3 linked regions of the Arabidopsis thaliana genome follow. The protein of the gene in region 1 purifies or fractionates together with the protein of each later gene. This does not show direct contact. Each region holds a gene or a part of one and is shown in the gene's direction. Other genes may lie near its edges.

Evidence for each region. Proteins that work in one complex are often made in the same cells at the same time.
Region 2: the proteins of CHR11 (region 1) and NOP56 fractionate together in Arabidopsis thaliana (co-fractionation; one large-scale study listed by BioGRID). This does not show direct contact.
Region 3: the proteins of CHR11 (region 1) and AT3G12860 fractionate together in Arabidopsis thaliana (co-fractionation; one large-scale study listed by BioGRID). This does not show direct contact.

Annotation. Positions count from the first base shown.
Region 1 is NC_003074.8:1,937,609-1,947,497, forward strand, and holds CHR11 (chromatin-remodeling protein 11), read left to right. Parts: upstream 1-3,364; 5' UTR 3,365-3,457; coding exon 3,458-3,655; intron 3,656-3,862; coding exon 3,863-3,994; intron 3,995-4,089; coding exon 4,090-4,196; intron 4,197-4,307; coding exon 4,308-4,420; intron 4,421-4,623; coding exon 4,624-4,721; intron 4,722-4,811; coding exon 4,812-4,991; intron 4,992-5,073; coding exon 5,074-5,295; intron 5,296-5,491; coding exon 5,492-5,626; intron 5,627-5,708; coding exon 5,709-5,991; intron 5,992-6,068; coding exon 6,069-6,142; intron 6,143-6,252; coding exon 6,253-6,473; intron 6,474-6,549; coding exon 6,550-6,637; intron 6,638-6,715; coding exon 6,716-6,809; intron 6,810-6,885; coding exon 6,886-7,080; intron 7,081-7,161; coding exon 7,162-7,196; intron 7,197-7,305; coding exon 7,306-7,382; intron 7,383-7,480; coding exon 7,481-7,570; intron 7,571-7,668; coding exon 7,669-7,738; intron 7,739-7,844; coding exon 7,845-7,899; intron 7,900-7,989; and 12 more. Other genes in the region: TLP9 (tubby-like protein 9), read left to right, coding at 1-420; AT3G06390 (Uncharacterized protein family (UPF0497)), read right to left, coding at 1,305-1,517, 1,611-1,737, 1,840-2,099; AT3G06410 (Zinc finger C-x8-C-x5-C-x3-H type family protein), read right to left, coding at 9,863-9,889. UniProt on the Arabidopsis thaliana protein: Possesses intrinsic ATP-dependent nucleosome-remodeling activity. Constitutes the catalytic subunit of several complexes capable of forming ordered nucleosome arrays on chromatin. Involved in the formation of nucleosome distribution patterns.
Region 2 is NC_003070.9:20,982,917-20,989,900, reverse strand, and holds NOP56 (NOP56-like pre RNA processing ribonucleoprotein), read left to right. Parts: upstream 1-2,948; 5' UTR 2,949-3,007; coding exon 3,008-3,212; intron 3,213-3,462; coding exon 3,463-3,677; intron 3,678-3,769; coding exon 3,770-3,927; intron 3,928-4,009; coding exon 4,010-4,197; intron 4,198-4,293; coding exon 4,294-4,546; intron 4,547-4,629; coding exon 4,630-4,778; intron 4,779-4,867; coding exon 4,868-4,999; intron 5,000-5,088; coding exon 5,089-5,357; 3' UTR 5,358-5,498; coding exon of another isoform or gene 5,499-5,542; 3' UTR 5,543-5,566; coding exon of another isoform or gene 5,567-5,600; 3' UTR 5,601-5,628; downstream 5,629-6,984. Other genes in the region: AT1G56120 (Leucine-rich repeat transmembrane protein kinase), read left to right, coding at 1-507, 594-792, 881-1,039, 1,164-1,282, 1,397-1,607, 1,690-1,921, 2,003-2,153, 2,242-2,613; AT1G56105 (uncharacterized protein), read right to left, coding at 5,499-5,542, 5,567-5,600, 5,792-5,847, 5,914-5,990, 6,019-6,164; AT1G56100 (Plant invertase/pectin methylesterase inhibitor superfamily protein), read left to right, coding at 5,922-6,143.
Region 3 is NC_003074.8:4,088,949-4,095,551, forward strand, and holds AT3G12860 (NOP56-like pre RNA processing ribonucleoprotein), read left to right. Parts: upstream 1-2,618; 5' UTR 2,619-2,729; coding exon 2,730-2,934; intron 2,935-3,158; coding exon 3,159-3,373; intron 3,374-3,454; coding exon 3,455-3,612; intron 3,613-3,706; coding exon 3,707-3,894; intron 3,895-3,994; coding exon 3,995-4,247; intron 4,248-4,319; coding exon 4,320-4,468; intron 4,469-4,562; coding exon 4,563-4,697; intron 4,698-4,776; coding exon 4,777-4,973; 3' UTR 4,974-5,247; downstream 5,248-6,603. Other genes in the region: AT3G12850 (COP9 signalosome complex-related / CSN complex-like protein), read right to left, coding at 1-25, 96-214, 501-788, 867-1,193, 1,344-1,355; AT3G12870 (uncharacterized protein), read right to left, coding at 5,469-6,089.

The DNA of each region.
Region 1 (9,889 bases):
ATCGTGGAGTCGCGAGGAGTAGTAGCTTCAACATCCATAAGCTCTTTTTCCAGTCGGTCATCACCAGTCTTTAGGTCTCACTCAAAACCATTGCGCAGTAATAGTGCATCATGTAGCGACTCAGGCAACAACCTGGGAGATCCACCATTGGTGCTGAGCAACAAAGCTCCACGGTGGCATGAGCAGTTACGTTGCTGGTGCTTAAATTTCCATGGTCGAGTCACAGTGGCTTCGGTTAAGAACTTTCAGCTTGTGGCAGTTAGTGACTGTGAAGCAGGGCAGACATCTGAGAGGATCATACTCCAGTTTGGGAAAGTTGGGAAGGACATGTTTACCATGGATTATGGATATCCGATTTCTGCGTTTCAAGCGTTTGCTATCTGCCTGAGCAGTTTTGAAACCAGAATTGCCTGTGAATAATGAAGAGACTAACCTTAAATCACCTCCGTGTGCTCGTTGTTGTGGTCTGTAGATGGTGTAGTACTTGTCCAAAATCTCAGGAACGTTAATAGCTTTCTCTGGATTCTTTCTGACAATTCAAATCTATCTGTTGTATTTATTTGTCTTTCATGCAAAGAAGCGTACCAGAAATAGGCTACGATTACGTTTTTTTCTGAAATTTACAAACAAAATTAATTTACTTTGCTACAGGATTTAGTTCACAGGAAGAGGGAAGGTTTGTTTTTTCTTTATATGGAAATATTATCTACAGTGAGTCAAAAACTCCTTGGCTGCAGCATTCTCCTCTTCTTCTTGGCTGCAGCATTCTCCTCTTCTTCTTCCTCTGCTCGAAGATCATCTTCTGGTAGCTTAAACTGACTAAGGTTCCGGACAAACTCTGTGACGGCATGGAAATGATCTGGGGAAAAGAAAAGTGCTCTCCCATTCTCTGGTAAGTGAACAGATCTATCGCTGTATTTTCGTCCTTTAGGTTCTCTGTGATCCTCTCAAAACCGCCAAGGTTTGGTTCGGATGAGTTTTGTCCTGAGACGATGACTCCGTGTTTCTTGCAACAAGTCTTGATGTGAGCAAGCAATGTCTCAGGGCTCGAGAGAGATTTCAGTGATTGGTATATGAAGAGTTTTCTTGAATCTTAATTTGTTGTATATGAAGACCGAATTTTGGATAAAGAAGTTACATATTAGTATATTACGCGACAAGAGATACACGAATGCAACTTCGTACTGTATATAGAAACGCATGCTTTTACATTAATATAACATAAACAAAACAAATCAAGACACAGACAAACACGTGTGAACAAATACACAGTACAGGGAAAGGATGGATTTATAAGCTTTTGTTCATGTTCTCTTGGAGAGTGCTGACCAGATGGATAAAACTAGAAGAAGAAGTGAAGCAAATAGAGATAAGGCAAGCGAAGTTGCGATGTAACGACAAAACTTGTCGTAGACATTACAGATCTTGTTCCACCCAACTTCTTCGTTTCCTTTCAACGCTATGTACGCAACTCCTCCCGCCGTTCCCGTTGCAGACGCCAAAATCCCCAGCATCACCTGTTCATATATACATATTCCGGAATTATTACTTAAAACACCCTAATTAACATGGTATATGGAAGTTTCAAAGTTCCTTGTAAAACAAGTTACCATGTCTAACGAGGCTAGGTAAATGGAGAACTGTGCAGTGAACTCAGGTTTCAAGAGTAGAGAGATGGAGACAAGTGTTGATATGAGCGCATAGAAACTAGCTACCACGAGAGCAACCACGAAGTATCTGCATAGATATATAGCCAATTTAACACATTAAGTTTAAACTAGAAAACATTCCATGATTATGATCAAACATGGAGGAATTTAATTAATTAAAGAGACAAACATGAAAGCGGGCGAGTCATTGAACTCGGCGGAGACAGGAGCCGGAGACGAAACTCCAGGGAGCTGAGTCATCTCTGTCTGGTCGCTAGTCACCATTACTATAAGAGCAGTCAGAGTGGCGGAGAAAAGCAGAACTCTTGTTATAATGTCTATTTTACGACAATCTAGGAAACTGGCGGCTGATGAGGGTGGTGGTGTAGCCGACGCGGGAATCGGTTCAGATTTGCCAGTTTCAGGGTCAGGGTTCTCAGTAGACGCCATCAGATGATTCTATAACTCTTTTGTGGATTAGGTTGTGGTTAAGTTTGGACTGTGAGTTATGAAGTTGGCCGCTACATGAGATTATTTGTGAGTATATATATATAGATAGTCCCGGTGATGAGTTGTAGTTATTACCCACACGCCAAGAAACAAATTTATATTTATTTACACTATTCACTAATGTATATATACAGGAACATGAATATCAATTCATTTAATTTCTAGCTTGCATTTTTCATTGTTTAAAATTTCGAAATAGTTTTTGGAAAATTCACTAGATGTTGTAGTTTTATTTCAACGTTAACATATAATGTTTGTTACAACAAATTTTGCATGCATATCTATTTTTGATTAATAGAAAAATTAATATATTTCTATAGGTATAAGTTATGGATAATGTAGATATATACAATGGGAATGTGTTAGGCCAACCCCGGGAAGGTTGGTGAGGAAATTGGGCGACGGTAATCAAAAACAAAATACAAAAAAGGAGAGTAAAGAACAGTAGGAGTGGTTAACCAATCATCTGCATGAAAAAGGTAATTTTATACATGCTCTTAGGTATCACTTTGCTTTCTGCTTGTGGCTGCAAATCATGTAAATGGATATCTTATTTTATGTAAAAACATTAAACTGCAAGAAACAAATGTCCCAGTAGCATGACCACTTCAGCACTTCTCAAACATATTATAATGTTTTAACATGGATAAAGCTATTTCAGATACTAATCCAGTCGAAATAGAGTAGTTTTGTCTTAGCAAAATCACCAAACTTTATCTCTTGATACCAATACAGAGTGACTGCACAAGTCTGAGAACAACACAAAAAAAGTCAGACCTAACAGTAATAATATATATGAACTCATCATGATTTTTATTTCATATCTTAATAATACCTAACTGGTTTTAGTAAATCCAAATATATAAAATTAGAGATAGCTTTAACAAATTGGGGGCGATGATCAATCACAAAGATTAAAAATAGTGTAACTGGAGAATCTTTCTCGAGCAGCTCCAGCATAGTAATAAGTTGGGGAAAATATCGGGCTTGAAAGTGGGTCTTATGGGTCAGTCAGGCCCAACTATGATTAAACAAAGCCCAAATCGCGAATGTTCCAAAACAACTCTCTTGCTCAGGTGGCGGGTAATTAATTACTAATTCCCCGTTCGATGAAGCGACTAGTTACATCGTAGCCATATATTTATTCAGCTTAATCAACGGTTACAAATTACCCTGAAGCTTCGGTCGTTTTGCAATTTGTATCTAAAGTTTCACTTTTTTTTTAAAATCTTTATTTTACTTTCTCACAAGCGAAGCGAACCCTCGATCTCAAGGCGAAAGCAGATTTCGTAGCTTCCATGGCGAGAAATTCGAATTCCGATGAGGCTTTCTCGTCAGAGGAGGAAGAAGAGCGGGTTAAGGATAATGAAGAAGAAGATGAGGAGGAGCTCGAGGCTGTTGCTCGTTCTTCTGGCTCCGACGATGACGAAGTAGCCGCCGCCGACGAATCACCAGTCTCCGACGGAGAGGCTGCTCCCGTAGAAGATGATTACGAGGTAGCTGCAGGCTAATTTCGTTTTGATGGCTGTGATTTTTGAAATCTCAGTGAACTGCATCTTTTTTGTACTTGGAAAGTTGAAATTTCATTTAATGCAATGGATTCGGCGTTCGCGTCTTCCTTCGTTTGTTAGTTTTAGTCGAATTTTTGTTGAGTGAAAGTTCATTGAATGTCTGCGCATGGTGGCTCATTGTGGTATAAGCAGGACGAAGAAGATGAGGAAAAAGCTGAAATCAGCAAACGTGAGAAAGCCAGACTTAAAGAGATGCAGAAGTTGAAGAAGCAGAAGATTCAAGAGATGCTGGAGTCGCAGAATGCTTCCATTGACGCGGATATGGTGCGTTGTTTGAACTATATATTTCAGGTTTTTAGCTACTTTTCGTTCTCGTGCTTTTAAGTTCTGACGATTCTGAATCATTCCATGTGTTTTAGAACAATAAGGGAAAAGGGAGACTGAAGTATCTTCTGCAGCAAACTGAGTTATTTGCCCACTTTGCTAAAAGTGATGGATCTTCTTCTCAGAAGAAGGCAAAAGGAAGGTGTGTTAGATGCAATTTTTTCCTAAAATATCGGTTCATCATTGCTTCTAGCTTCAGAGTAAATATGATGAGCCAGGCCCTGATTTATGTGGTTTTAACTTCTACCTTCAGGGGACGTCATGCTTCCAAAATAACTGAAGAGGAGGAAGACGAAGAGTATCTAAAGGAAGAAGAGGATGGCTTAACTGGATCTGGAAACACACGGTTACTCACACAGCCCTCTTGTAAGTACCTGTATTTTGCTCTTTAGTCTAGGATTACTGTATATTAATCGTCTCTCTAGTCTCGAGCAACAAGTACAATATGATTGACATCTCCGTCCATTTGCGTAACCATACATATTTTTGTGACCTCACAGTTAGTATGTAGTATAGCGTAAATTACTGGGAAAGCTTGAGATTCATCTATTTTTCTTCTCAATCGACAGGTATTCAAGGGAAGATGAGAGATTACCAATTAGCTGGTTTGAACTGGCTCATTCGTCTTTATGAGAATGGCATAAATGGAATTCTTGCTGATGAAATGGTAAATAATTCTCCCCCAACGATCCAAGCAGAATAAGTTCTCTATATTCTGTCATGCTAATCATGAAACTTTTTTTTCCCTGTGGTCTAGGGTCTGGGGAAGACGCTTCAAACGATTTCTTTGTTGGCATATCTTCATGAATACAGGGGAATCAATGGTCCCCATATGGTGGTTGCTCCAAAATCAACACTTGGTAATTGGATGAACGAAATTCGCCGGTTTTGTCCTGTCCTACGTGCTGTGAAGTTCCTTGGTAATCCTGAGGAGAGGGTAAGTCATGAGCTGTCTGCCATTTCAGAATTTCATGTAAACGTTTATCCCAGGATTCTGAAATGTCTGCTAACTGATGCAGAGACATATTCGAGAAGACCTGCTAGTTGCTGGGAAATTTGATATTTGTGTCACAAGCTTTGAGATGGCCATCAAAGAGAAGACAGCACTTCGTCGGTTTAGCTGGCGTTATATTATCATTGATGAAGCGCATCGAATCAAGAACGAGAATTCACTCCTTTCTAAAACCATGAGACTTTTTAGCACCAATTATCGGCTTCTTATCACGGGGACCCCCCTTCAGGTGTTTGCTCTATCTTATTCTTGAATATTTGGACATTGAAGTTTTCTTTGTTAAGTTGCTTCTAATTGAATGTTGAAACAACCTTTCTTGTACGGCTCTGTTTGCACTCTTAACTTTTGCTTTTCCGGGCACTTTTAATATTTACCGTATAATGACTGTGTAGCCTGCTGTACTCATATTGTCCTCATATATGCAGAATAATCTCCATGAACTGTGGGCTCTTCTAAATTTTCTTCTGCCTGAGATTTTTAGTTCAGCAGAGACTTTTGATGAATGGTTTCAAATTTCTGGTGAGAATGACCAGCAAGAAGTTGTGCAACAACTGCACAAGGTATGGATGCACCCATTCCTTGCATTGAGTTTATTCTGTTCTGTGTGAGTCGTAGGTTAATTGCTTTCATGTATCTTTTTAGGTTCTTCGACCATTTCTTCTTCGAAGACTAAAGTCAGATGTTGAGAAAGGTTTGCCACCGAAGAAGGAGACCATACTTAAAGTTGGTATGTCTCAGATGCAAAAGCAATACTACAAGGCTTTACTGCAGAAGGATCTTGAAGCGGTTAATGCTGGTGGAGAACGCAAACGTCTGCTAAACATTGCAATGCAACTGCGTAAATGCTGCAATCACCCCTATCTCTTCCAGGGTGCAGAACCTGGTCCCCCATATACCACAGGAGATCACCTTATAACAAATGCTGGTAAGGCTAGAAATAAACTAGATCCTTCAGATTTCTGTGGAAGTTTTTTATGAAGCATCTCTATATTGTTATTTTAGGTAAGATGGTTCTCTTGGATAAATTGCTTCCTAAGTTGAAAGAACGTGATTCAAGGGTGCTGATATTTTCTCAGGTAAACGCTAATACAGAACAGCTGGATATAATGGTTTCTTACAGTTCATCTTCTCTTTTTCCTTTGTCTATGTAAAGTCTGAGCCTTATTCTTTTCTTTCCACATGTCAGATGACAAGACTTTTGGATATTCTTGAGGACTATTTAATGTATCGTGGTTACTTGTATTGCCGTATTGATGGAAACACTGGTGGTGACGAACGAGATGCCTCCATAGAAGCCTACAACAAGCCAGGAAGTGAGAAATTTGTTTTCTTGTTATCTACTAGAGCTGGAGGGCTTGGTATCAATCTTGCTACTGCAGATGTTGTGATCCTTTACGATAGTGATTGGTAAGTCTCTCATCATTGTCCACTGTAGTTTATGAACTTTCTCTTCACGTTTGACGAGTCTGGCATATTCTGGCAGGAACCCACAAGTCGACTTGCAAGCTCAGGATCGTGCCCATAGGATTGGTCAAAAAAAAGAAGTTCAAGTGTTTCGATTCTGCACTGAGGTTGGTCTCCTCTCCGTGAATTTCAAGTTAAAACAGCCATGAGAGGTTTAAAATTAATTATGTGTTGTTTGTTTACAGTCTGCTATTGAGGAGAAAGTGATTGAAAGAGCTTACAAGAAGTTAGCACTTGATGCTCTGGTTATTCAACAAGGGAGATTGGCAGAACAGAAAAGTAAGTGCGTTATACAGTGATTGCTTTATGCATTGGTTCATCTCTGACAGAATTGGTATTTATCTTAACTATGCAGCTGTCAATAAGGATGAGTTGCTTCAAATGGTAAGATATGGTGCTGAGATGGTGTTCAGTTCTAAAGATAGCACAATCACAGACGAGGATATTGATAGAATCATTGCCAAAGGAGAAGAGGCAACAGCTGAACTTGATGCTAAGATGAAGAAATTCACAGAAGATGCTATACAGTTTAAAATGGATGACAGTAAGGGTGTCACTTACCTACTATTTCCCCTATTAGGTTGTGTGAATATTGTAATGTTTTGATAATCTGTTGTTTTATTTGTTGTAGGTGCTGACTTCTATGATTTTGATGATGACAATAAGGTAACTTGTATATTTCTTTGCATAGTCTTAACTTTCATGTCATATCCCTAGCTTTGCTCTGCATTACTGATGATAAAATTTACTAATATATTTGTAAATTTGTTCATAGGATGAAAACAAGCTCGATTTTAAAAAGATTGTAAGCGACAATTGGAATGATCCCCCCAAGCGGGAGAGAAAGCGCAAGTAATGATTACTTCTGTCTTATACATTGTGCAGTCCTATTTTGCCAGTCTTCATATCTAAAAGAAACATCCCTTTTGTTTTATCTACTGTATCTTCAGCTACTCTGAATCTGAGTACTTTAAGCAAACATTGCGGCAAGGTGCTCCAGCTAAACCTAAAGAGCCTAGAATTCCGCGCATGCCCCAGTTGTGAGTACCTCAACAACCTCCATCTCATTGTTGAATGCCTTTTCCCTGTTTTGATGATTTTCTTACACTAGAAATCTAATTTATTGTCCCTCTTTCAGGCACGATTTCCAGTTCTTTAACATTCAGAGATTGACCGAGTTGTATGAAAAGGAAGTACGTTATCTCATGGTAGGCCTCTCTCAAAACGAAACACTTGATTCCTTTGATGTGCTTAAGAGCGAGTTTTTTTGCCTTATAAAAGCAACTTGCTTCTTTTTGTGCTTTTTGGTTTCAGCAAACACATCAGAAAAATCAGTTGAAAGACACAATTGATGTTGAAGAACCAGAAGGTCAAGCTTGTACCCACTTTGTTAACATGTACCCACTTTGTTAACATGTTTTTCAGCAAACCTATTACTGATTAAGAATTTTTTTGTTAGAAGGTGGGGATCCCTTAACTACTGAAGAAGTAGAAGAAAAGGAGGGATTATTGGAGGAGGCAAGTGAATATGTTTGATGTTAGAGTGGTCTTAGACATTTGATTTGGTAGGCTTTAATTAATTTTTTGTAATTGTCAATCTCCAGGGTTTCTCAACATGGAGCAGAAGAGATTTTAATACTTTCCTCAGGGCTTGTGAGAAGTATGGCCGCAACGACATAAAAAGCATTGCCTCTGAGATGGAAGGGAAAACAGAGGAAGAAGTTGAAAGATATGCCAAAGTATTTAAAGAGCGGTACAAGGAGCTGAACGGTAAGTAACACCTTTCAATGCTAAGTTATGCAGTGTTTTTACATGTTTCTAAGTAATTCCTACCTCCAAAAAGAGCTTATGCTAAGTAAGTTTATCATCTTTCCCTCTAAATATGTAGACTATGATAGAATCATTAAGAACATTGAGAGGGGAGAGGCAAGGATCTCTAGGAAAGACGAAATCATGAAGGCCATAGGGAAGAAACTGGATCGCTACAGAAACCCTTGGCTGGAACTGAAGATTCAATATGGTCAGAACAAAGGCAAGCTGTACAATGAAGAGTGTGACCGTTTCATGGTATGTCTTTTTCTCGTTTCCCTTTTTGCTGTTCTGTCTCATTAATTATATCATGAAGTTTTTGACTGTTGAGGAACTTTGGTGGTGAAAAACAGATCTGCATGATTCACAAACTTGGTTATGGGAATTGGGATGAGCTAAAGGCAGCATTTAGGACATCGTCTGTGTTCAGGTTTGACTGGTTTGTGAAATCCCGCACGAGTCAGGAACTTGCAAGAAGATGCGACACTCTGATTCGACTGATCGAGAAAGAGAACCAGGAGTTTGATGAAAGAGAGAGGCAAGCCCGCAAAGAGAAGAAGCTCGCGAAGGTAAAATAATGCAATATTTTCATGTATAAGGTTGTATTCTTTTGATTTGATTTCTTTAGGTGGTTAATGCTTTTCTGGTTTTTAATCTTTGAAGAGTGCAACACCATCAAAGCGACCTTTAGGAAGACAAGCAAGTGAGAGTCCTTCATCGACGAAGAAGCGGAAGCACCTGTCGATGAGATGAGATTATGTGTTTACGGATCTGTCGAGTCTTTGTTGTTACATATAGTTAAGCTAATGTTAAAAACATAGCAAATGGATTTCATTCTGCTTTCATGAATGTTTGTCCTGGTTTGACTTGGATTTAATGAAATGACTTAATTATAATTTTGTAGACTTCTCTTCCGTAAAGAAACTGAACAAAAGGATTTGAGGCCATTGGATGGCAACTTAGGCTGAAGCTTAAGCAAAAGTTATGAGTTTCTGAGGGATATATGAACAGACGATTTTTTCCACAATTTATTACTTCTTTGTTCAACGGTTGCATTTTATTTACTTAGAGAGGAGAGATCTGATACTTTTGTGGAAAGAAGATGTACATAGGCATTGTTCGTGCAATGTGCAGTGATTGAATGTAGATGTCATTGGATACAACTTACAAGAACGAGGAAGAGAAAATGTGTACACTATATCCGTTTATGCTTCTTTCTACGTTCGCAGACATTTTAAATTACTCCTCCAGATTCATGAAGGAATAAAAACAGGGGACTTCTGATGAATGTCGCTTGAATAAGGCCATTTATTAGTAATTCGTTATTCAAGAAAAATAAACAAGAGAGGAGAGATGGCCGTATGAGAGAATATATTATATATGGACAAATGGTCAATGACAGAAGCTTTAGTCTCTCTGCTTCCATCAAATCTCAGACCCCAAAAATAATCTTCTTTTCTCTTTTTTTCTTAATGTTGCTTAGTTCATGAAGAATTGAGAATATTTTCCTCTCTTTTTTTTTTTTAACTTGAAGTCTTAGCTTCTATGCT
Region 2 (6,984 bases), on another chromosome or scaffold:
TGTAAGTGTAACAAAAAGATACCCTCACAAATTATGTTCTCCATGTTGAATGTGCAAACATATGGACAGGGCTCCAATGTCTTATTGGAAAAAAATTGTTTTAAGACTTTCGCTATTGACTGGTGTCTAGATTATAACTTTTCGATCAACTGCGGAGGCCCAGAGATAAGGTCTGTTAGTGGAGCACTATTTGAAAAGGAGGACGCGGATCTTGGACCAGCTTCGTTTGTTGTGAGTGCTGCAAAGAGATGGGCAGCCAGTAGTGTAGGAAATTTTGCTGGCAGTAGCAACAATATATACATAGCTACTTCACTAGCACAATTTATCAACACTATGGACTCAGAGCTTTTTCAGTCAGCACGACTTTCTGCATCTTCCCTAAGGTATTATGGGTTGGGGCTAGAAAATGGAGGGTACACCGTAACACTTCAGTTTGCTGAAGTACAAATTGAAGGTTCTAACTCTTGGAAAGGTATTGGAAGACGACGTTTTAACATTTATGTCCAGGTCTGCACCACTTGATCGAGCTTTCCGGTTCACAAATGTTACTTTTTGGTTCTGATGAATTCTAAGATCTAGCTCCATTTTTCCAGGGAAGACTTGTTGAAAAGGATTTTGATATACGCAGAACAGCTGGTGGCTCTTCGGTTCGAGCAGTTCAGAGAGAATATAAAACAAATGTATCAGAAAATCATCTCGAAGTCCATCTTTTCTGGGCTGGAAAAGGAACATGTTGTATTCCTATCCAAGGGGCTTATGGGCCATTAATAGCGGCCGTCAGTGCGACACCAGGTAACACAAACGGTTGATATATTTTTTTTCCTCTGATTTTCACTATCTCCCGATACTAGTTAGTGCCGTGTCACATATTCTTGTTCAGATTTCACACCAACTGTGGCTAATAGGCCACCATCAAAGGGAAAGAGCAGGACTGGTACTATTGTGGGTGTCATTGTTGGTGTTGGACTTTTGAGCATCTTTGCGGGTGTGGTTATCCTCGTCATTCGAAAAAGAAGAAAACCGTACACAGATGATGAAGGTACAGATGTAATAAGAACATAAACAAGCCCTTGAGCTGAATAACTTTAGCTCTCTGATCAAAATTAAAGTTGACTATCATCTGTTAAATTGGTTGATTTTAAGTAGTGAATTTTTTATGGCAGAGATACTTAGTATGGACGTAAAGCCTTACACCTTTACTTACTCGGAACTTAAGAATGCAACACAAGATTTTGATCTCTCAAACAAGCTTGGAGAGGGAGGGTTTGGGGCTGTTTATAAGGTAAGTCCCTTACTGAATCGAACAAAATAGCTGTATATTTTTCTGAGATACTAGGAAAGAAGGGTACATGTAATACCTTTTAATACGTTTTGTTTTGAATAACACGTTCAACAGGGAAACCTCAATGATGGAAGAGAGGTGGCGGTGAAGCAGTTGTCAATTGGATCACGGCAAGGGAAGGGACAATTTGTTGCAGAAATTATTGCAATTTCTTCAGTTCTACATCGCAACCTAGTAAAACTTTACGGGTGCTGCTTTGAAGGAGATCATCGTTTGCTCGTATATGAGTATCTCCCTAATGGAAGTCTCGATCAGGCATTATTTGGTAATGAACAGAAACATGACTTACCTATCTCTGCTTCTGCCAAGCTAAAGTAATCATTATGCCATTGGGTTGGATGTTACAGGGGATAAGAGTTTGCATCTTGATTGGTCAACCCGTTATGAGATATGTCTGGGAGTAGCCAGAGGTCTAGTTTATCTCCACGAGGAAGCAAGTGTTCGCATAATACACAGAGATGTGAAGGCCAGCAACATTTTACTGGACTCTGAACTGGTCCCAAAAGTTTCTGATTTTGGGCTTGCAAAACTATATGATGACAAGAAAACCCATATTAGTACCAGAGTGGCAGGGACGATGTAAGCAAAATCCATAGACCCTGACATTTTGTTTGCAACACAATTATGGCTTTATAGCTCATGTTAGTTGTATCAATGCAGTGGGTATCTTGCGCCAGAGTATGCCATGCGTGGACATCTAACAGAGAAAACAGATGTGTATGCCTTTGGTGTTGTGGCTCTTGAGCTAGTGAGTGGAAGGAAAAACTCTGATGAGAACCTGGAAGAGGGAAAAAAATATCTTCTTGAATGGGTACGTCTATATTTGTCATATAGGCGAAGTTGAAGATGGTGTGATAAATGACAAAAGCCGATAATCCTTTTGTATTTCTTGTATACAGGCATGGAATCTACACGAGAAAAACCGTGACGTTGAACTAATAGATGATGAGCTAAGTGAATACAACATGGAAGAAGTGAAACGCATGATTGGCATTGCTCTGCTTTGCACTCAGTCATCTTATGCGTTGAGACCACCAATGTCACGAGTAGTAGCCATGTTGTCAGGAGATGCTGAGGTCAATGATGCCACCTCTAAGCCAGGCTACCTAACCGACTGTACATTTGATGACACCACAAGCTCCTCATTCAGCAACTTTCAAACGAAAGACACTAGCTTCTCGACGAGCTTTATAGCGCCTGGCCCGGAGATGCCACTTAGAGACGGCGAATCGAAGCCAATGGTTGGATTCAAGATCAAGGAGGGAAGATGAAGATTGTCCCCTCTATAATTTGATATGCTTGTATATGGAAGTTGACAATTTTCTTCTATATAAGGATGTGGAGAAACAGATTTCACTTTCATTCAATAATAATATTTTAGTTGACAATTTTTCAATTTTTGTAACAAACTTTTGATATCTTGCAAGGATGACCAAAAAAAAAAAAAAAAAAAAAAAAAAAGAAAGTTAACCTGTTGTGATGGGCCGGGCATTTTATAAGCTAGTACAACTAACACACCGTTAAATGGGCCTGGCCCATTGAATTTTTCAAGAGCAGCGCCATCAACAGATGCGCTTATTAAACCCCTGAAACCCTAGTTTCGTTCGTTGTATATTTCTTCTCGCTCAGTAGGTCTTTAGGGTTTTAGTTTCTTCTCCTCAAAAAATGGCGATGTATGTTATCTACGAGTCTTCTTCCGGCTATGGTCTCTTCGAGGTTCACGGACTAGATGAGATCGGACAGAACACTGAGGCGGTTCGGACTTCTGTCTCCGACCTCAGTCGCTTTGGCCGTGTTGTTCAGCTCACAGCGTTTCATCCCTTTGAGTCTGCTCTCGATGCTCTCAACCAAGTCAACGCCGTCTCTGAAGGTCAGACTCTTCATTACTCTCTTCTTATTCTTTGTTCTGTATATTCATGTGTTGTGTTGAGTAGCTTGTTCTTGTATTTAGAGCTAGAGTAGACACTTCGATTTAAAACCTTATAGTTCAAATTTCCTGGATATATTGTAGAAAGAGCTTTAATTTATGGTTGATTCTTGTTTTTGTGTTCTGTTTTTGTTTCATTGTTTTGGTTTTGTCATTGATGCTTTTGGAATTGGTTTTAATGTGATATTGGTAGGTGTTATGACTGATGAGCTTAGAAGTTTTCTGGAGTTGAATCTTCCTAAGGTCAAGGAGGGAAAGAAACCCAAGTTCAGTTTAGGATTGGCTGAGCCTAAACTCGGTTCACATATATTTGAAGCTACTAAAATCCCATGCCAGAGCAATGAGTTTGTTCTTGAGCTTCTCAGAGGTGTTCGCCAGCATTTTGATAGGTTTATCAAGGACTTAAAGGTGTGATCTCCTTTCTATGTGTTTAAAATCTTTTTGTCTGTTTGCTTATCTCATATGGTTTGTGTTCTCATAAAAAATTTCTGTTTATGTAGCCTGGTGATCTTGAAAAATCTCAGCTTGGATTAGCTCACAGCTACAGCAGAGCCAAGGTGAAGTTCAATGTTAACCGAGTGGATAACATGGTTATTCAAGCTATCTTCATGCTTGACACGCTTGATAAGGATATCAATTCCTTTGCCATGAGAGTCAGGTTTGTTTTGTGCTTTTCCCTTTCAGATTGTGTGTTTTCCTCGAGAAAATTGGTAGCTGAACTGTTTATAATGTTATTACAGGGAATGGTATTCGTGGCACTTCCCCGAACTAGTGAAGATAGTCAATGACAACTATCTTTACGCCCGTGTTTCAAAGATGATTGATGACAAGTCAAAGTTGACTGAAGATCACATCCCCATGCTTACTGAAGTCTTAGGGGATGAAGATAAGGCAAAGGAGGTCATCGAAGCTGGAAAAGCATCCATGGGTAAAAATTTTGAGCTGACTTTTTTGGTAGCTTTGAGTTAATGTGTGTTTCTGTTAACTTATGTCCTGAGACATTTACTCTCTTCCCTATTGGCAGGCTCGGATTTATCACCGCTTGACTTAATCAACGTACAGACCTTTGCTCAGAAAGTTATGGACCTTGCTGACTACAGGAAGAAGCTCTATGATTATCTTGTCACTAAGATGAGCGACATTGCCCCTAATTTGGCTGCTTTGATTGGAGAAATGGTCGGTGCCCGTTTGATTTCACATGCTGGAAGTCTGACTAACCTTGCTAAATGCCCATCTTCCACCCTCCAGATTCTTGGAGCCGAGAAGGCTCTTTTCAGGTGCAATATCTGGCACTATATTTTTAATGTTCACCAGTTTCCTTTTAGTGCTGCTTGTGACATGAACTGCTGTGGTATTTCAGGGCACTTAAAACACGTGGAAACACTCCCAAGTATGGATTGATTTTCCATTCTTCCTTCATTGGCCGAGCATCTGCTAAGAACAAGGGCCGTATCGCTCGTTATCTTGCAAACAAGTGCTCTATAGCATCCCGGATTGATTGTTTTGCTGGTAAAAATCTGAAACTCCTTGAAGAAGAGTTTTGGATTATGAATTCTGTTGTGAAAGTGTTAAATTATGTGCCCTGATGTCCTATGCAGATGGTGCAACTACTGCTTTTGGTGAGAAGCTTCGCGAACAAGTTGAGGAAAGGCTAGAATTTTATGACAAAGGTGTTGCCCCACGCAAGAACGTGGATGTAATGAAGGAGGTGATAGAGAATCTAAAGCAAGGTATTTCTTGTAGCTGTTTTTTTTTGGTTGTAATCAGAGTCCTCTTTATGATGGCAAACTCAGTGTTTTTTTATCTGTTCCTCCTTTAGAAGAGGAAGGGAAGGAGCCAGTTGATGCCTCGGTGAAGAAAAGCAAGAAGAAGAAGGCAAAGGGTGAAGAAGAAGAAGAGGTGGTGGCAATGGAGGAGGACAAGTCAGAGAAAAAGAAGAAGAAAGAGAAGAGGAAGATGGAGACTGCAGAGGAGAACGAGAAATCAGAGAAGAAGAAGACAAAGAAGAGTAAAGCTGGAGGAGAAGAGGAGACTGATGATGGTCACAGCACCAAGAAGAAGAAGAAGAAGTCTAAGAGCGCTGAATAGAAAGGGATGCAACATTAACAAACCCTGTATTGTATTTTTTTTTTGAGCTAAATTAATGTCGTCTGTTTTTCGTAGTGAACATCGGAGAATTTTTGTTTTGGTCTGGAAACGATTCAAGGTTTGGCAATATCTTAAGTTTGTTTAGGTTTTCACTATTTTGACGTTTGCAACCGTGAAGGAGGCTCCTCCATTTTATAAAATACAATTACCAATTCCAGTGCTTTGCAAATGTTTCAATAATAGCTAAACTAACTACCAAATTGGAAAACTAGCTTAACAAGTTTGTGAAAATGAATTTGGAGCCATATGATTTATTATTTTACCCAAATGGAGTAATAGAAGAAGAGCAGCTCGCGTTTGAATGGTCAGTTAACATTAACAAAAGGTAAAATTGAATAGATGTTAAAACTTGTGTAAGTAAACAATAGAGCTACCTCCTTTTGAGAAGGATAGATAAACTCGTGACCAACCACATTCCCAGTCCCATATTCTTAGTACAAATAAGAAATTCACACCCCTCAAAGAAATATAACATAATCAATCATAGGAAATATACTTCGCATAATGACGATAATGATCAAGTTTCTCCTGTTAGCTCTGCTCGTGATCTCTCCGATTTGCGCCGAGAAGGACCTGATGAAAGAGGAATGCCATAATGCACAAGTTCCGACCATTTGCATGCAATGTCTTGAATCCGACCCAACCTCCGTTCATGCAGACCGTGTTGGCATCGCCGAGATCATCATACACTGTCTCGACTCTCGTCTCGATATCATCACCAAGCAAGTTTTCCCTTCTAATAACCATACATATATATTAACTTAGATATATGACAATATTCTCTAACTAATATATCAATCTTTTTATTGTTCTAGTAACATTACAAATATATTGTCACTGGGAGGAGGAACGAAAGAAGTGAGAAAAATCTTGGAGGATTGCAGAAATGACACGTCGACGGTGGCACCTAAACTACTGTCGGAAGCCAAAACAGGTCTGAAAACCGGTGATTACGACAAAGCCGCCAAATCGATAGAGTATGCTAGCATTCCTCATAGCTGTGGATTAAAGCAACCAAGTGTCGAGTTTGAGTTTCTTCAACTGTTTAGTCAAATCAGTATCTATACTCAACTCTCTGATGCTGCCATGAGAATCATTGATCGCTTCTAATTACTCCACCTTTTTATCTCTATGTAACTCAACAACATCGATGCTTACCATGCATCCCCCATATAAATAAATGATTCCCTCTTTTATCACGATTTTTATTCATGCATGGTCTCATTTAGGCGACAATTACTTAACACTTCACCATCTAATAATCATACTAAACTGATGTTGTAGAAATTACGCTCATCAATCCTTAAGGAAAAAAAAACTAGAGATTAATTATCTTGAGATGAATATCGTCGCTTATAAAAACTTTTTAATTCTTCCTTAATAACATGGATACATTGGGGATAGTGGACCGTTAAATGGGCCATGTATCACCAACTCACCCCAACAATAGTTTCTGCGGTTTCGTCGCCCGGAGTCTTGCAAAGTGGAGATATGTGAAAATCCATTGAAATAATCAAATATATAAATGAGTCATTAACCAAAAGAGAGACTCATTATCTGTTGACGA
Region 3 (6,603 bases), 2.2 Mb from region 1:
CAGTGTCATGCAATCAGTGAAGTGCCTGTTCACGTTAAATAAAAATCAAACCAAAGCACTTATCTGCCAAGTATATATACAAAAAAAGTACTTACCCAGCAAGTAACTTCTTGATGACATCAATTAGATAGTCACATGGCCCAAACGGTTTGATAACGTTTTCCAAATGACTAGCGACTTGCCCGATAGGGTTAACGATTGTATCAACGGCATTCTACAAAAATACAATGAGTTTTAAGTTAAATGTGGGCTACCCATAATAAAATTAAGTGGTCACAAAAATTTATTACGTACTTGAAGTGTGGATTTACTAAATGTAGCCATTGCACAGACTAGTCCAAAGAGAACAATATCTTCTGATGAGATCACCTCCCTATAATTATAATTGTCTACTTCTTTCCAAAGCTGTACAAACTACATTATATAGATAAAATTTAGATAACGAATCACAATTTAATATTAATAAAAAAAACTGTGTTAAAGTTAAGGAGAATTTTTACCCCTTCCGCAGTAACTTGATACTTGCTTTCTAAAAGATTAGAAAGAGACTTAAAGCAGTCAATTTTGAAGCCATATGCCCTTTTTACGTTGCAGTAAGCTATCTGTTCGACACTTCGGTGGGGAAGCTCCCCAAAGTTGCGGGTCTCGAGGGCCACCAATAGTGTAGCCATGTAAGCATCGATAGTTTGGACCTGCCGGGGATATGGTCGGAAAACGATCGCCATTTGGCCACAGTGGTAATGGAGCCAATACTGACGAAGTGCAAGACGGTCTTTTTCGAGTTCGTCCTGCAAAAGAATAGAAGATTAGATGTACAATATGGAATCTTGTTGCGCAAGCAAAGTTTTATAGTCACTTTTCCTTACCGTAGCACTTTCTAAGTCGTTTCTTAGAATGCTGTCTTGTTTGACGAAATTGTTGTTCTTAGTAAGACGCCATTTTTCATCCAAGAGATAACCTTCTCCTAATCTGCCTTGTATTTTTTCAGCTATAACTGTGAACAAACGCATGTCACAGACAATTCCGTCATTCCGGATAAGATCATAGGCAAGTCGAAGGGCTTCAAGTTCCAAATCGTCAGTGAACATCGGGCCAACAGAATTCTCTGCGATATGAAGTAGCCTCAGCACTAGGTTTCGTCCTTCGTAGTTTCGTGAATAAGCTTCCACATCCAAGTCCAATTGATCATCACCCTAAGTAAAGGTCATTAAACAAGATTTTCAACTTAACGATAACAATATGTTCTTCTTCTTTTTTGTTGACAACAATAACCCAATAGATTTTACAGTAAAACGCAACATTGCACGAACTAAACTGAAAAAAAAAAAACTATTTAAAATTACCTCAATATCCATCTTGTTAACCAATAGTTTTTTCAATACTTAGTCTGCAAGAAACACTTAAGAAAGATAAATGAAGTTAAATCTGATTAACAAATTAACTAAGCTAAGTTTCTGCTGCGAAAACAAATTTGTGTGTGTCATAAACAATATTTTTCTACCAAACTCAATGCTCTGTTAATCTAGCTAGTCGATGGATTCTCCAAATTAAAACTGACAAGATTAACTCTAAACGGAGATTACTTCACATGCAAGAAACATTAAAGAAAGTAACACAGATTAACTGTTCCGAGAGAGAAATCTCATTTAATTGCATGAAAAATTAAGTAAGTCTGCTACAAAAACGAATTATGTCACAAAAACAAAATCATTCACCAAAATCAAAAGATTCAATCAAAGAAACTTTGCACGATTTGGAAAGAAAAATAGTTGAAGTTACCTGTTTATCTTGCTAAGCGATAGAATTTCTCCAAATTGAATCTATGACGATTAATAAATTTAAACGACGATTGCTTCCTATTCAAGAAACACAAAGAAAGTTAGAGAAGTGTCCCAACAACACAAATTAACAGTTCTGAGAGATAGATCTCATTTACTAGCATAAAAGATGAAGCTAAGTTTCTACTGCAATATGATTTTACATAACAAATAAACCCATGCATCAAAGTCAAAAGCTTCAATCGAAACATTACATTTACCGCAACTTTGCACGATTTGGGAATAAAGAAGAGTTAAACTGACCTCAGTTCCTCTTTCTAATCGAGAGATTTCGCAAATTGAATCTGTACGAGTATAATTGATTCACTAGTTGAGCTAATCGTCTTGTTCTGTTGCAGATTCTTGAGCGAAAGAATCTTAAGAACTCACACGTACGGTCTTCAGCAATCCCTTCGATGATGTGACTACAGGACCTTCTATCTCTCTTGTATCTCTCTTTCTCTCTGTTACAGATTAATTTTACAGGAGAAAGAAGAAGAAGATGATCAACAAGAAAGAAGACGACTCTCAACTCTGTAACGGATCAATTAGTTTGTTTATATTACTAACTGATATGATCTGGTACGGGCCCTTCCACAGTAACTGAAGCCCACGCGCGTGTACTTCACCTGAGACCACCTAAACTTTTCCCTCTTTGTATAACAAAAGCTTGTTTTTTTTTCCTTACATGAAGACCATTGACCCATGCTAGTCATTTTGGTTGAGTCCGATAGAATTAATGGGCCAGGCCCATGTAGTTAATCTAAGAGCAAAGCCGCATCATCTTCCGTGCGAAATAACCTTAAACCCTAATTTCTCTTATTCTTCTCCGAAACGGAAACTGCATAAATACTCGATTTTCAAATCAATTTTGAAAAAGACGGCTAGGGTTTTTACAGAATTCTCTCTACAATGAAGATTTATCTTCTTTCCGAATCACCCTCCGGCTACGGATTGTTCGAGGGACACGGTTCCGATGAGATTGGACAGAACACGGAGGCGGTTCGGAGCTCCGTCTCGGACCTTAGTCGGTTCGGGCGGGTCGTCCAGCTCACTGCTTTTCACCCGTTCCAGTCTGCACTCGATGCTCTTAACCAAATCAACGCCGTCTCTGAAGGTGAACTCACTACTAAATTACAGCTCTTTCCCTCTTTAGTTTCCTGCACCATATACTTTATTACTTGCTTCTATTATAGTTTATGCTGGAAAGAGCTTAATTCTTAGAAATTGAGCTCTTACTACTGTTGGAATCAGCTTATTCTGTTCTGTTTTAGCTTTTGCTGGAGGTCTTGATAATAAAGTATTAATATTTGTATTGTTTTTACACCTTAAAAATCGTAGGATACATGAGCGATGAGCTGAGAAGTTTTCTGGAGCTGAATCTCCCGAAAGTGAAGGAAGGCAAGAAGCCCAAGTTTAGTTTGGGAGTGTCTGAGCCTAAAATCGGTTCTTGCATTTTTGAAGCTACCAAAATTCCTTGCCAGAGCAATGAGTTTGTCCATGAGCTCCTTAGAGGTGTGCGTCAGCATTTCGATAGGTTCATCAAAGACTTGAAGGTGTGTTTTTTATTTTTGATTACCTAATACCTACACATATTTTTGCTATTCGTGCTCAATATCATCTTCTTTATAATGTAGCCTGGTGATTTGGAAAAAGCTCAACTTGGACTAGCTCATAGCTACAGCAGAGCAAAGGTGAAGTTCAATGTTAACCGGGTGGATAACATGGTTATTCAAGCTATTTTCATGCTTGACACACTTGATAAGGATATCAATTCCTTTGCTATGAGAGTCAGGTTTGTTTTCTTATTGTTTTGCCTTTCAGATTATGTCTTGTCTGTTACCGTAAGAGAAAATGGTTTCTGAGCAGCTCATATTATGTTTTTGCAGAGAATGGTACTCATGGCACTTCCCTGAGCTTGTCAAGATAGTTAATGACAACTACCTCTACGCCAAAGTTTCAAAGATTATCGTCGACAAGTCAAAGTTGTCTGAAGAGCACATCCCTATGCTTACTGAAGCCCTGGGTGATGAAGATAAGGCAAGAGAGGTTATTGAAGCTGGAAAAGCATCTATGGGTAATAAACTGATGTAGCATGTTCGATAAGAATCATGAATCTTTACAATATATCTATTGTTTCTCATGTTCTAAGACATTGTTGTTTTCTCTATTTGAAGGCCAGGATTTATCACCGGTTGATCTGATCAATGTCCAGACCTTTGCTCAGAGAGTTATGGACCTTGCAGATTACAGGAAGAAGCTCTATGATTATCTTGTTACTAAAATGAGTGACATTGCTCCAAATTTGGCGGCCTTGATCGGAGAGATGGTTGGGGCTAGGTTGATTTCACATGCAGGAAGTCTGACAAATCTTGCCAAGTGCCCATCTTCAACCCTCCAGATTCTCGGTGCTGAGAAGGCACTTTTCAGGTGCATTTCAAGCTTTGTTAGTCTTTACAAGTTTAATTACACTGCAGTAACTAACTTTGGTGTTAATTTCAGGGCACTGAAAACACGTGGAAACACACCCAAATATGGTCTAATATTCCATTCATCATTCATCGGGCGTGCATCTGCTAAAAACAAGGGCCGTATTGCTCGTTTCCTTGCAAACAAGTGTTCCATTGCTTCCCGGATTGATTGTTTCTCAGGTAATAATCTAGAGAATGTCCTGAATAAGAGAGAGGTGTTTGGGAGATGATGCGTTGTTATTAACTACAAAATCATGGTGGTTGTGTTATGCAGATAACAGCACTACAGCTTTCGGTGAGAAACTAAGGGAACAAGTAGAGGAAAGACTTGACTTTTATGACAAAGGTGTTGCCCCACGTAAGAATGTTGATGTAATGAAAGAAGTGTTGGAAAATCTTGAGAAGAAAGGTACATATGACCCAACAAAGCTCTCTGATCTGTTGTGGTAAACGGTTTTGTTTGATGGGTTGTTTCTTCTTTTTTTAAGACGAGGGAGAAAAAACAGTGGATGCTTCGGAGAAGAAAAAGAAGAGAAAGACAGAGGAGAAGGAGGAGGAGAAGGAAGAGGAGAAATCAAAGAAAAAGAAAAAGAAAAGCAAAGCAGTAGAAGGAGAGGAATTGACAGCAACAGATAATGGCCATAGCAAGAAGAAGAAGAAAACTAAGTCACAAGATGATGAATAAACAAACAAGTCTGTGTAATACACTAGTTTTTAGTTTTCTTTCTTCTACATAGGGTTTTGACTTTAAGAACAACTTTAAACATAGCGCAAATTAGATAAGGTTTTCTACTTTTGAATTAAGTCTGTCTTAGCCAAATGAAAACAAGCTTGAGTCTCTGTCTTGCGAGTTTATGACTTAAAAACAACTAAAAACATATATAATTATCAGATTTTCTACAATTGAGTCTGTCTTAAACAAAAGAACAAGCTTTTGATTATTTATCAGGTCTGGTTTTTAACTTTTGAAGATGATCAAATTTTTGTTGATGTTGAAATGGATCTTCAAGTATGTATGGATATGTTTTTGCTCAATTCTTTGAAAATGTCGACAAAACAAATTAACATTACAAAAAAGGATTGAAGGAGATGAATCAAACATGTTGTTTTTCTTTATTATCACTAAAATTGCAGAAACCAGAGAATTCTGCTAAAGCATAGCAACAAAAGAGCAAAAGAATCAATCGCAGAGAATGAGTCTAATCATGGCAAGAACCAAACACGAAACAGAGAAGAAGAAGAGCGTCACAAAATCCCTAGCAGACCATTTCTTCACAGGCTTCGACTCAACTCTTAAACTCTTGGCTCTACGAAGCGCATCCACTTCCTTAAGCAAATCAAATTCGATACCTTTCTTCTTCAACTCTTCAACACATTTACGCAACAGCTTCGCATCTTCTTTCTCCCTCTCCAACAACTTCTCAAGATGCGATTCCACTTCAGATTTGTACCGTACCGCCCAAATGATCCCCAAGGAAGATAGCAGAGCGCAGAGTGAAGGGATCCATGATCTTTTACAAGCACTGGAAGAAGCAGAGGAAGATGAGGATGAAGAAGCGTGGAAGAGAAGTAGCAGAGAAATGGAGTGGAAGAGAAAGAAGAAGATGTAGAGCTGAGTGATTTCTCTTCGAACAGAATCGATCTGAGATTCTTTGTGAGAGACACGGCTTAGAATTAGCTCTTCTTCTTTTAACCATTGTTTCAGGAGAAGCTTGTGTGTTGGTGTATCTGCGATCTGGTGAAGAGGATGTCTTGTCTTTGCCTCCATGATCGGTGGATTCGTGCTCTGATCTGACGCCATGGAAGCTTTGTGGTTAGAGAGAGAGAGAGAAGTGTAGATTTGTGAATCGCAGAGAAAAAAAGATGCGGACTTTATTGAGGCTCTTTGGTAACGGCTCTTTTGGGTTTTATTTTAAAATATTATATGAATTTACAGATTTGTCCTGAGAGCGTAACGGTCATCAATCAACAATATACGGCTCGGCTTGGCGCCGTCACACATTCGTAAACTGCCCCACGGTATTTTAGGCCCATATCTGGCCCATTAAAAACAAGAAAGGTAATTAACCTTATCACCTTTGGGAAGAAAATAGTGAGGAAGACCACTCACGTTATATTTGTGCTTAAGTAATTAACTTATCGTTAATGTTGAAACTAACGCTTGAACCACATGTCACCAATATACATACTGCAACCAGTGGATTTATAGAAAAATACATTTTCTATTTCCGAACGTTACAAATTCGTAACTCTTCTTAAGTAGGTAAACCATAGACAATAGTGATTCACCTTTACCAAAAAGTGAAGAGTGTAAT